Mus musculus: one gene and its partners. The protein of the gene in region 2 interacts with the protein of the main gene of each other region in a biochemical or structural test. Links are inferred from orthologs where the notes say so. Each region holds a gene or a part of one and is shown on either strand. Other genes may lie near its edges.

Region 1 (4,290 bases), about 410 kb from region 2:
TCGAACAAGTTTTTTTCCCCCCGCCACCACGGGAAGACCTTTTTTTTTTTTTTTTTAAGAAAAATTCTCATATATAAAACGTTTATTTAGGAAGTGCTTGACTTTAATCTCAAATATGCAAATAAATTTGGGAGGCAAATAACCCCCTAGCTCGTAAAAACTATGCCACACACTTTACTTCTTATTCACAGGGAAACTTCTTTCTGCTACTAAAAACACAAATTGTATTTCGTGCTTTGGCAGCAATGAACTCTAAAGCCAGAGAAAACTCAATTTACTTTTGGTCAGTCTTCTTCCATGCCACCCGATATTACCTGCTGCTAGAATCAAGAGTCCAACCCATATATTCTCCTCTATACCAGTGACTTTAAGGACACGGAGTCCATATGCCTTTATATAATTCTCATCTCTAAAATCAATTTTTAAATTTCTCCTAAGCCATATTTTTAAAAGTATGTCCTTAAAAGCAATGGCCTCAAATAATGGCTACCACCCCACAGGTCACCAGCCTGCACAACAGAATAACCCACTAAGCAAAACTTGGAATTAAGATGTTCCTTCCAAACAGCCTGAAATAAAAATTAAATTAAATTTTAAAAAAACCTGGGCTCATATCTAGACTCTCAGCACAAGGGTAACTGAGGCAGAAGTTTGAGGCCATCCCGGGATATGAATGAGCTGCAAGCAAATCTGGCTAGAGAGGCCCTATCTCAAAACGCTGCTCCCCAAAAGACCAGGAAAACTGTATCCACCTAGGCATGGTGGCACATGCCCACAAGCCTGGCACATGGTGAGGTAGAGGCAGAAAGAACAAGAGTTTATGGCCAGCCTCAGACTATTAGGAAGCCTTCATCTTCTTATCAACATCCATTAGGACTTTTGACACTACACCTAAAACACATATTGGATGCTGTGTTCCATGTTGTTTGGACTGCTTTACTGACAAATGCTGTGCACACCAATTTGCAAAATGCTGTTCTAAATGTGAAGCCAACCACCAGCAAATGGTAAAAACCAAACTGACCCTCTGTCCTCACCTGGAAGGCCAATTTGAAAATAAAATGTTAAGCAAATAACTATTATAAACTTTTATCATCACCCAATGATAAGTACTACTACAGAAAAAAAAAAAAAAAAAAAAAACCATGAACATGCCTTCTTCTTTAATTACTGAGAGACTCACACTATGTATAGCCCAGTCTGCAAGACATGCTCCTCCTGCTTTGGCCTCTCCAGTGACATATTACAGAAGCGCACCACTGCGTCCATTCCCGGTATTTTTGTAAGGTACAGATTTGTACACCCAGGAGACCTACTGGTATTTACCAGCTTAGGTCTTCAAATCCAAGGGGCCCAATGTTCCTCACCTGAGGAAAACAGGCCTCAAAACAGCTTTTACAAATGATGCAACCTGACCCGACAGGAGCATCATTTATGCACCTAACTGCCACCTCCCAACAAGAACACCTGGTTTCTTGAAAACAACCACGGAGATCCTACACACTGCCCCGACCAGTTCCAGGGGCTTAGACGCTTACACCCAAAGTGATAAAGTTCCTCGCCAATTCTAAAAGGAAAAGCCTTGTTTACTTTCCCGACAACTCGGAACAAAAACAAACTGAAACCCACGCGCCACTGCCGGTTGGAGCTCTAAGGCCACTGTTCAAAGTCCCCATCTGCAGCCACCCGATTGCCCTCTCCTGTCGGATCCAGAACTGTACTCGTGGACACTTACATAACATCAGAGAACAAAGTAAATACAGGAAGGTCCAGCGCACAGCCTCCGTCACGTGGCAGGGACCGGAGGGGTGGGCGGGGCTAGGGAGCTGTTGACAGATGTGTCAACCAAAGGGGGAGGGGGAGGGGTGGGGAACCCCACGGAACAAGAAAGTCTCCTAACTGACCCACGGTTGTCGTCAAATCAGACTCAGGGCTACTCCAGCTGCTGGCTTCCTTTCTCAGTCATCCTTCGCTAGAAAGTTAAGGGGGCTCCTCCCCGAGACTAAGTGCGGCGCGACAGGGAGGGGCGGTCAACGGAAGGCTGCAGGAGAAGAGCCATGTCTAGCCTATGGGCGTGGGACCTTCAGAAGTTGGTGACTGGGCACGCACCCCACCCTCTAGCCAATGGCCCAATCTGGCACATATACTGTCTGTCCTCGGTACACCCAGAAGTCTCGTTTGGCAACATTTACTTTTCTTATTTCTACCCATCAGATGCAAGCCGAACTGGGAACACCCAGTCAGTCACCTAGTAGTTTGTGGAGGGTCACTGGGACTCGGATGGGGAAATGACTCATTAAGGTCAAATTACTGTTTCCCTGGGAGGATGAGGAGAGGGTACAGGGACGTGGGGCAGATGTGTGACAGCCTTGGGAGTTAGGTGTAATGGGAGGTGAAGAGATGAGGGGCTAGAAGAGGGCAAGCGCGGACTGGTGGAGGCCCAGAAGAGATGACAAGCGCTAGGGCGAGCAGAGGGGCACAGGAGACGGTTGGGCAGGAAGGAGACTCGCGCCCTGTGGTGTGTGACAGGTGAGTTCAGGCAACCCTGCAGGCGTGGCACCCCGGGGTCCCACTCACCGGGCGCTCGGGGTAGACTCGGCTCAGGTGGGCCTTGAGGCGACTCACACTCCAACTGCGGTCGCCACTCAGCTCCAAGTCGCGGTGGCGCTGATTGGGACTCTTCACCAGCAGCGTGACCGGCTCGGGCTGTGGCTCGGGCTCCATGTCTGCGTCGCTGGCGGCTCGACTGCGCTCAGGGATGCCGAACGGGCGGCGACGCAGCCGTCTGAGACCACACAACGACACTTGGCGTCTTTGGGACACGCGCCCCCGTCTCGGGTACCTTTTATGGGCGCCCCGTGCCAGGGCTCCGCAGATAGCGCTCTCTGTGGCTGCCATCCATTGGCTGAGACAGAGGTCAGTGTCCAACGTGGCCCAATCAGCGCCCGGAGAAAGGCGGCGGAGAGGCGGGCTAAGCGCGGGGGTGCGGGCTGATGCAACCCGCCGTGGTTGCGTCATCCTGAGTCCCGACAGCGGCGCGGGAGCGGGTCTTCGGCGGCCATGTCAGGGTGCCCTCTGGGGCGCTGGTCCTGTTCAGGCTCCTTAGCGCGGGATGCGTGCGGTGCCTGAGCCTGGCGGCCTGCCTGACTCCCAAGATCAGCAGGCTCTGCAAATTGTGCCCTCACAAAGCGGCCCTCCGCCCTTTCTGACCCCAGGCGCCTGGGCATACGTCTGTCCGCTTGCATTTTCCCTGGTGGCTGCGCAGCCTGGCATCCAGGGAAGCCTTACGAACTAACCAGGCCTTAGAAGCGAAGAGAAACCAGGCCTGTGTTGCTCTGAGCTGAGAGGATGAAGGATTCGGGCACTTTCCAATGTGCCTGCAGCAAATTTAACGATGCATCAAGTGTGGAACATACCCCTTATAGTAATGGCACTAAGTGCCTCTTGATTGACAAACCCTCTAGGAGACACTGGAAAGGGTCATCATTTATGAACTAACAACATCTGCTGCTTTTAAATTGGGGTTGCGACAAGCACAGCAGTGGTCTCAGATACCTGAAATCTGACCAGAGGCAGTGCTCCAGTGTTTCCTCTGAGTTTGAAAAACAAAACTGGCATTGCTCCGGCCCATCTTTGTCCCAATCCTGTTGGGATACCTGGGTTTTCAGCCATGTCCAGAGCTTACAGAGGTCAGAGAGGTGATAGGAGAGTCCTGTTCGGGAGATGGTTATGTGAGTTTGTCACACAACCATAAGAAAGTGTCGTAAACTGGAGGCTCGAGCAACAGAAGTTTATTTTGAAGCTGTAGAGGCTGGAAGTCTGCGACCAGGGGTTAGGGCAGCATTGCTTTCTTTGGGGGCAGAATCTGTACCACTCTCCTAAGTTCTGCAGGTTTGCTAACTGTCCTTGGGACTTCTTAGCTTTGGGGAGTATTTTTCCAATCTCGAGCTTTCCGATCACATGGCATTCTCCGGGTGTGCACCTGTGTGCGTGCACATACACGGGTGTGAGTGTATCTGCATCATCTTTATGCGTATCTCTGTCCAGTCTCTCCCCTGCCCCCTTTATAAGGGTATCATTCGCATTGTCGTGGCTAAAGACCTCATCTTAACGATTATCTTTCACAAAGATATTTCTAAATGCCATCACATTCTGGGGCTGAGACGTCAGCGTCTCTCTGGAGGACACCCTGCACCTCACCGCAGCGGCATTTGCCAGTGGTCCACCAGGGACACGCCGCAGAACCTCAGCTGCTTTCCTTCCCAGGTTTTATGTTGAAGACCACTGAGG
Region 2 (3,646 bases):
CCATCAAAAGATCTGGTCACCATGAACTCAACTACCCCAGCACACCTCCCCACTGTGACAGACTAAAACTCTCTCCAACTATTAACCAGAATACACAGCTCTTCCCTTAAGCTGTTGCTGCCAAGGGCAAGGTGGCCGTAAGTAACGCAGGACCACGCTGCACTCCTGCAGCACAGCTCCTGGTAAGCTGACCTCACCTGGACAGAAGCTTCTCCCTCCTCCAGGTCAGGGCTGGGCCTCTCCACTGGGCTGTTCAGTGCAGGCCTCAGGCTATCCGACCGCTGAAAGAAAGCATGCAGTCATTCAGGGTGGGGTGACAAAGGGGCAGGTGACAGTTTTCGACACAGCTCACAGCCTGAAAGGTGAGACGAAGGATGTGGAGGCCCTCATGGAGTTCCATGTTTGAGAGTAGTTAGTAACTGCTCCATATTCAGCTTCCTGTTCAATAATAGTGATTGCACAACAAAAGCAAGGGCAAAGGTCAACTGCGCGGAGTAAACACTGTTCCCGGTTTTCATAACCTTCCTAAAGTGCTCTGAAGCAGGCATTGCAATTAAGTCTCCAGACTAGAGATGTTCTGGGTCCTCCCCACAGGCTTTATCGCTTAAGGTCTGAGTACCTTCATGTCTGCTGTCTGGTTTATGTGTTTCACTGACAGCCCTATCCAGCCATATGAGGCAACTCTGCCAGCTCCAAAGGCAGCTAACAATCAGGTCAGAGAGCTGAGACCCAAGGGACCATATAGCTAGCACCTTAGCCCAGCTGTCTCCAAAGGCTACACTCGTCAAAAGAGCTTCATCTTTTTGAATTGTATTGATATATTTCTGTTCACTTATAGGCTGTACACAGGAACTTTTGGTAGATGACTGTCTGGCCTTATATTACATTCCTCAGTATTACTGAAGGCTCCTCTCTTGCTTTTTCTGTGCCTCTCTCAGAGGCCGAGTGATGAGGCACAAACTCTGACCTTTTTAATGAAGTCCAAAGTCCAAGCCTCAGCTCCCTGAGAGATGTGAACTGTCACTAACACACCACATGATGTACAACCAGCCTTCTCTTGGAGTGCCAGTGCTCCATAAACCATAGCCCCATGTTCGCCCCTCTCTACTTCTACAAAGAATGTTTTACTGGACCACAGTCTTGCTCATCCACATCCTCACTGCCAATGGCCACTTTATTTGCAGCAGACTGTGGACCAAGCAGAGCCTAAATAGTCACTCTTTGCTCTTCACAAAAATAGATGCCAGCCTCTGACAGGAGCCAATGGCGTCCCGGTACAGACCTGCAGTGAGGGAAAGCTGATTTGGGGTATGTTTCTGCATAAAATGTACTTGGATTATCTGTATTTACCTTTGGTTAATCTGTTCTCATGAAAGATTTGAATGAAATGAAATTCATATAAACCCTTCCTCAAATTATAAATAATATTTAGGTGTTAGGACTAATTCTTTGTAAAAATAAAATACATTTGTTAGGCATAAAGCTCCAGTTTTACCTGCGTGGGGAAAGGTACTTGAATCCGTCCTTCTAAGATGTTATCTGTTGTTATCTCCACGGAGCGTGTCATCTGGAGGTCCTGGAGCACAAGGTGGTACGGGACCTGAGGGAACATCTCCTGAATCTGATGAGCCTAGAGAAACATGAAGGACACACAGCAAAGGTCACTCTCAGCAGATTTGAGGGTCAGTACGCACACTTGGCAGGCCCTGGACACAGAGGCTGACATCATTATCTTGAAAGCACAGGTAAAGGCCATTTTGGCTCAGCAGATCACCTGCACACTGCTTTCTTTTTATTGTTGTAGGGTACTAGACTTCTGGGATACCAGCAATTTCAAAGTAAAGAGCAGACAGAAATCTAGTAGTATCTCAAGAAAGGGTCAAGTCAGAGTATCTTCTGGCTTTAAAGATCTATTTGATGACTTTATGTGTGCCAGTATCTACCTACGTGTATCCTAAGCTAACAGGATCCTTCTAAAGTTCGATGTTCAGACACAGCATGTGTAGTATTCATATCCACTATGCCAAGGGAGAGCCAGACTGGGACTCCATTAGATGACATCTGGAAACAGGCACAGGGAGAGGGAAAGCAGAGCAATGTGGGGCTGGGCGTTCTGCTCAGGAGCTTGTCTAGCAGGCAGGAGGCCCTGGCTGGGGAGAAACTGACCTCAAAAGAACCTTGGACCCACAGAGAGGAGCAGCAGAGCCACTCTGACTCTTGTTAGATTAAGTCTACACAGCTGTGTGAGCTAAACTTGAGATTAACCAAAGCACATTTTTACTGCATACAAATAATAAGCGCAACTTTAAAAAATAGAATTAAAGAATGTAAGTTTCTATATGCAAAACGTAAAATATATTTTTTAATTTATAAACTTTTTTTTTTAAGATTTATTTATTTTGTGTATGAGTACACTGTAGCTATTTTCAGACAGACCAGAAGAGGGCATCAGATCCTATTATAGATGGTTGTGAGCCACCTTGTGGTTGCTGGGAATTGAACTCGGGACCTTTGGAAGAGCAGTCAGTGGTCTTAACACTGAGCCATCTCTCCAGCCCATCTTTTTAATTTATAAAAGTCAATTTTTAGCCAGGCATGGTGACATGCCACTCTCACTCTAGCACCCAGAGGCAGAGGCAGGAGGATCTATAAGTTCAATACCAACCTGGGTACATACTAGGATTATGAAAATATCTAGTACTGCCTCAGAACTACAATTTTCAAACAATGCTCTAGATCCATCACTGCACACACTTAGAGGTTTAGCCATGTGTGTACAGGACAAATACATAAATTTCCATCCATACTTCAAATTCATCCATACTTCCATTCAAGCACCTCAAAACTTGTGTGTGTGAACACATGCATGTGTTTTATACATATAAATATATTTTATAAATGCTTGCATTCTAGGTTTGTATTGTAGAAAAATCTCCATAATTTACAGAGCAAGAGAGAAAAGAGAGAGGAAGAAGCAGGAAAGACCACTGCCTTGGAGTACGACTGAATGTCAGTTTCCTTTTTTCTTTTTTTGTTTGTTTTGCTTTTTTCTTTTCTTTTTTTTTTTTTTTTTTTGGTTTTTCGAGACAGGGTTTCTCTGTATATCCCTGGCTGTCCTGGAACTCACTCTGTAGACCAGGCTGGCCTGGAACTCAGAAATCCGCCTGCCTCTGCCTCCCAAGTGCTGGGACTAAAGGTGTGTGCCACCACTGCCCAGCCTGGATGTCAGTTTCAAAGGAGCACAGCATCACAAACTGCACGTGATGGCTTGTGTCTCAGCACTGCAACTGAAAGAGCAGCTCAGGTGAAAACTGTCCAGAGCTTTGCTGAGTCACTTGGGAGAGACAATGGCAAGATGTTCAGTGCCCAGAGGGCCCAAGGCTCCGCATCACTGGAGACCCCCTCACAGCATGTGGACTGGAAGGAACATTTTATCCCAATCAAATCAAAGCAAAGTGGGAAGAGTCTCTACAAGCATTCTCCCCTCCTCACCTAGCTCTCCACCAATTGAGGAAAAGAAAAAGGGAAACAAAGCTGGATCCATTTTATTGAACTTTCTATCATAAATCTTTCTACCAGAAAATCCAGTCAGTTAAATACTAGATTTTAATTAAAAATGCATAGTTCCAGTAAATTCGTTGTGCTA
Region 3 (4,149 bases), on a different chromosome or scaffold from region 2:
AGGATATTGCCTTTAAAGGATCACAAATCTAAACATCAAGTCCTCAACATGAGTGTTGACACGTCAGAGAGCTGAGCATCTGTGCCAAACAGGATTCTCCAAAGACCAACAGCAAAGCCTTGGGGAAACTTATCTTGCTTCACGTCGAAGCCAAATAATGGTTTCTGAAATTCTACCTCAGTTTCTACTCAAGGGAATTAATGGAACTAAGCCAGTCTTGGTAACCACAAGAAGCAAGGTAGGGGGCTCAAGGAACACTCACTCACCTTCTGGTAAGCAAGAATCGTCCCCAAGAAAGGCAGAGGTTTTGGCCCAGGAATTCCCAACTTTTTAAAAATTCCATGTGAATGAGTTCCATATCTATGAAGCAAAAAAGAAAGCTAGTACATGGGATTGCATTTTGTCGTGGCTCACCAGTCATGGATACAGGCACCATAGAGTTCAAACAAAGGAGGCAACATGTAGCCAACAGCAATGACTATTTTTGGTCTTCACTTCTCTTGAATTCTCTGTGGGGCCCCCAAAGACCACAAAGGTTATCTTAAAAGGCAAGTAAAACATTTGTGCTCTAAATCCTAAAGTTAATCATTAATAAGCGCCTGTAGCTTGAGTTTGGGTGTCCATGTGAATTCTTATTTGCTGTTTCTTTCACTTGCTTTTATTTAGGAAACTGATTGGATGCAATTCATCTGTCCTTCTAGTGATCTCCAGAGGGATCCATGCCCCACAAGTGTATTTGAAAATTCTCTCCTGAGAGAAGAGGAATATTCTCCACTTCCTGCCAACTCATACCTGAAGGTATTCTATTTCATCATTGACCCATCCTCTTCCTTACTCATCTATACTAAGGGATTAGCATGGACTGACAAACGGGTATATCAAACACTGATAAAAAATTTAACAACCTAATAACCAAGTTTGTTTCAAAGCATACATGCAATCTATACACTGTATTTGTTTGTGCATTATGCTCACATTTCTGACACTCTTATAAACAGATGAAGTTATTGTAAAATTGTCACAAATATTGAAAGCAACAGATCCACTTTAACCTTTTGAAAGAAGGTCCTGGGATTATCGTAAATAAATTCTAGGGATGAATAAAAGGGAATGAAAGATTTCAGTTAATAGTAAAATATCATCAGATGGAAAAGGTGTTGTCATAATACCTTAAATACTTACTATTACTTTAAAGAATAAAACCAAGTTTGAATTTTTCATTTTCACATTATTGTGAGTGTGTACCTTTTCTTCAAGTCAAATGGTGACAGAAGTCAACTATGGTGTGTGTGTGTGTGTGTGTGTGTGTAAAAGAAGAGCATCTACTACCTACAGACTTACACACACACACACACACACACACACACACACACACACATACACACAATCACACACAGGGGTGATTAGAGCAGTGGTTCTCAACCTTCCTAGTGTTGTAACTCTTTAATACAGTTCCTCCTGTTGTTATGATCTACAACCATAAAATTATTTCATTGCTATTTCATAACTGTAATTTTGCTACTGTTATGAATCATGATGTAAATATCTAATATTCAGGATGCCTGATATGTGACTCTTGTGAAAGGGTCCATTGACCCTCAAAGGACTGAGACTTCACAAGTTGAGAACCACTGCCGTAGAATGAGCTGGGCGGGGTAGTCATCTATGCTTTTAATCTTGGAACTCAAGATAACCTTTCTCCTCCCCTCACTTGTACTACTACACAGGAGTCCATTCATTAGAAGGTAGTCCTGAGATGGGTGTTTTCGCTGATGCTCACCAGAGGAACTTAGAGAAAAATATTTAGCATCCTAACTGTTTCAAAGTTCCTGCCCTTTGAGGATGCCAGGAGATTTCATAGCAGGGAAGGAGGAACTCCTTATACTTATGCTAGGGTCTTTGACAGGAAATGGTGAAGGGAAAGAATCAAAGTCAGGTCTTCTTTGCTCCGAAGAGTCGTCATTTATGGGAGCTAGAGAGGTAGCTCAGTGGTTAAGAACACTTCTTGCTCTTCAGAGGACCAGGGTTCAATTCCCAGCATCCACATGGTGGCTCACAGCCATCTGTAACTCCAGTTCCAAGGGATACACCGTCTTTTGCTGACATCCATGGGCACCAAGCACTCATGTAGTACACATGCATGCATATATGCAGGCAAAACACTCACAAAAATAAAATGATCAAACGTAATATACTAGGGGCATTGTTAAAATAGTCCTAGAGGTGGGACAATGAAGCAGAATGTGTACATATAACAATACTCCACGTTTCCTGCATCAGAGAAAACAGGTGAAGACAACACAAAAGCTCTTCCCATCCCCACAATACCAACAATCCTGAGACCTTGAAGAAGAAGCCTTCCATCAAACACAGTGACCAGCTTCTTGTAACCTGCTTTACTGAGCCCTGGGTGGTTAATCTGGTGAAAAGGTGAGACTCAATTGGAGAATAACCCAGGTCTAACTGAGGTCACTCAAACCTCCTATCCACAAAAACTGGAGTTTAGTAGAAGAGGAATGTATACTTACTTACCCCATAGGAGGGATTTGCATAGGACCAAAAGCAATACCTTAACTCTTTGTACAGCCCACACTCAATGTCCCCTTCATATTCTCTTTGGATTTTCCAAGCCAGTAAAGGAAAGAATTATCTGACTTGCATCCCCCAAGTCCTGCTCACTAAGAAGAGGAGCCTGGGCAGTTTACTCACAAGTAGAGAAGGACCAGGCTGGTAGCCAGGAGCATCCAGGTTTCCATGGAAAAGTTTGGGATCAGGTCCATTGCTGTTTTCTTTAAACAAGTCTCTCTCCAAGTTGTACTCTCAATTTTGTGTGCTGCACCTTTCAGGGCTGAGCCTGCTGAGCTCCCTTCCCTGCCCAGCTGTTTGTGACTCAGGAAAGCCACCCTGAAGAACTTAAGTACAGGGAAAGAGGTGGGGCTGAAATTGCAGCCAATGAACAGACCTACAGTTCTGAGTCAAGTGTACTCTCCACCCTAGCAGTTGGCAAAGAATCATGGGTGTGCCCACTTGAATCTTTGAATTCATTTGGTAAGAAATATCGACCAAAACTGAGGCCAGTGTTATCATTATCACTGAGTACAAAGGTTATTGCTTCTTATCAGAAACTCAGGTGAAATCATTGGCATTCTATAGCATTTCTGTCCTAGTTCGCTTTCTGTCATTGTGGGAGAGAGAGAGAGAGAGAGAGAGAGAGAGAGAGAAACCAGAATGACCAAAAACAACTTGGGGAAAAGGTTCATTTTGTATTACAACTTAGAGTCCATCATGAAGGAAAGTTAGGACAGAAAGTCAAGGTACATATCTGAAGACAGCAACTGAAGCAGAGCCCACAGCTAACTAATGCTTCCTTCTTTCTCCTTATGGCTTGCTCAGCCTTCTTTCTTTTTTTCCTTTCCTTTCCTTTCCTTTCCTTTCCTTTCCTTTCCTTTCCTTTCCTTTTCTTTTTCTTTTCCTGGGACTAACTCAAGTGCTCTGGGAGGACAGAATGCTTTCTTAGCCACTGAGCCTTTCTCCAGCCTTTCAGGTTCCTTTCTTATCAAACCCAGAAGCACCTGCCTAGAGGTGACACTACCCACTGTGGTCTGGGCCCTCTCACATTAATCATTAATCAAAAATATTTCCCCACAGAGGTGCCTACAGGCCATTCTGGTGGAAGCAATTTCTGAACTGTGATTGCCTCTTCCTGGATATGACTAGGTTTGTGTCAACTTGAAAAAAGCTAAACAACCTTCTGTCCTTTTGTCCTAAGCTGCTTTAATTGCCAAGAACTTGAAATCCACCCAAATAAACACATGAAATGACCCAAAACAAGCTGATTCTTCAAAAAAGAGAGAGAGAGAGAGAGAGAGAGAGAGAGAGAGAGAAACCCTTAGGTAATCTGACAAAAAGAAAGAGGGGGAAGACACAAATTTTAAAAATTAGAGATGAAAAGGTATCATTATAACTGACTCCAAAGAAACCCAGAAGTTCATGAGGCTGCTGTGAAAAACTGTACTCAGGAAATCTGGATAATCCGAAAGAAATAGAAGGATTTCTAAATGCATGTCTTCCTCCAGATAGATTACAAACCATGAGATCCTAATCAAAATCTTCCCATCAAAGAAAGCCACAGGACCCAACAGATCTCCA

The links.
Region 1: of the proteins of Amfr (region 2) and Herpud1, one has a biochemical effect on the other in vitro, tested with the Homo sapiens proteins (6 studies listed by BioGRID and IntAct, with this or other methods). The link is inferred for Mus musculus from reciprocal best matches to the Homo sapiens genes AMFR and HERPUD1.
Region 3: of the proteins of Amfr (region 2) and Cyp3a13, one has a biochemical effect on the other in vitro, tested with the Homo sapiens proteins (4 studies listed by BioGRID). The link is inferred for Mus musculus from reciprocal best matches to the Homo sapiens genes AMFR and CYP3A4.

Annotation. Positions count from the first base shown.
Region 1 is NC_000074.6:94,385,026-94,389,315, reverse strand, and holds the start of Herpud1 (homocysteine-responsive endoplasmic reticulum-resident ubiquitin-like domain member 1 protein), read right to left. Parts: upstream 2,888-4,290; 5' UTR 2,725-2,887; coding exon 2,578-2,724; intron 1-2,577. UniProt on the Homo sapiens protein: Component of the endoplasmic reticulum quality control (ERQC) system also called ER-associated degradation (ERAD) involved in ubiquitin-dependent degradation of misfolded endoplasmic reticulum proteins.
Region 2 is NC_000074.6:93,974,539-93,978,184, forward strand, and holds part of Amfr (E3 ubiquitin-protein ligase AMFR), read right to left. Parts: intron 1,631-3,646; coding exon 1,496-1,630; intron 282-1,495; coding exon 198-281; intron 1-197. UniProt on the Homo sapiens protein: E3 ubiquitin-protein ligase that mediates the polyubiquitination of lysine and cysteine residues on target proteins, such as CD3D, CYP3A4, CFTR, INSIG1, SOAT2/ACAT2 and APOB for proteasomal degradation.
Region 3 is NC_000071.6:137,918,733-137,922,881, forward strand, and holds the start of Cyp3a13 (cytochrome P450 3A13), read right to left. Parts: upstream 2,888-4,149; 5' UTR 2,781-2,887; coding exon 2,710-2,780; intron 361-2,709; coding exon 267-360; intron 1-266.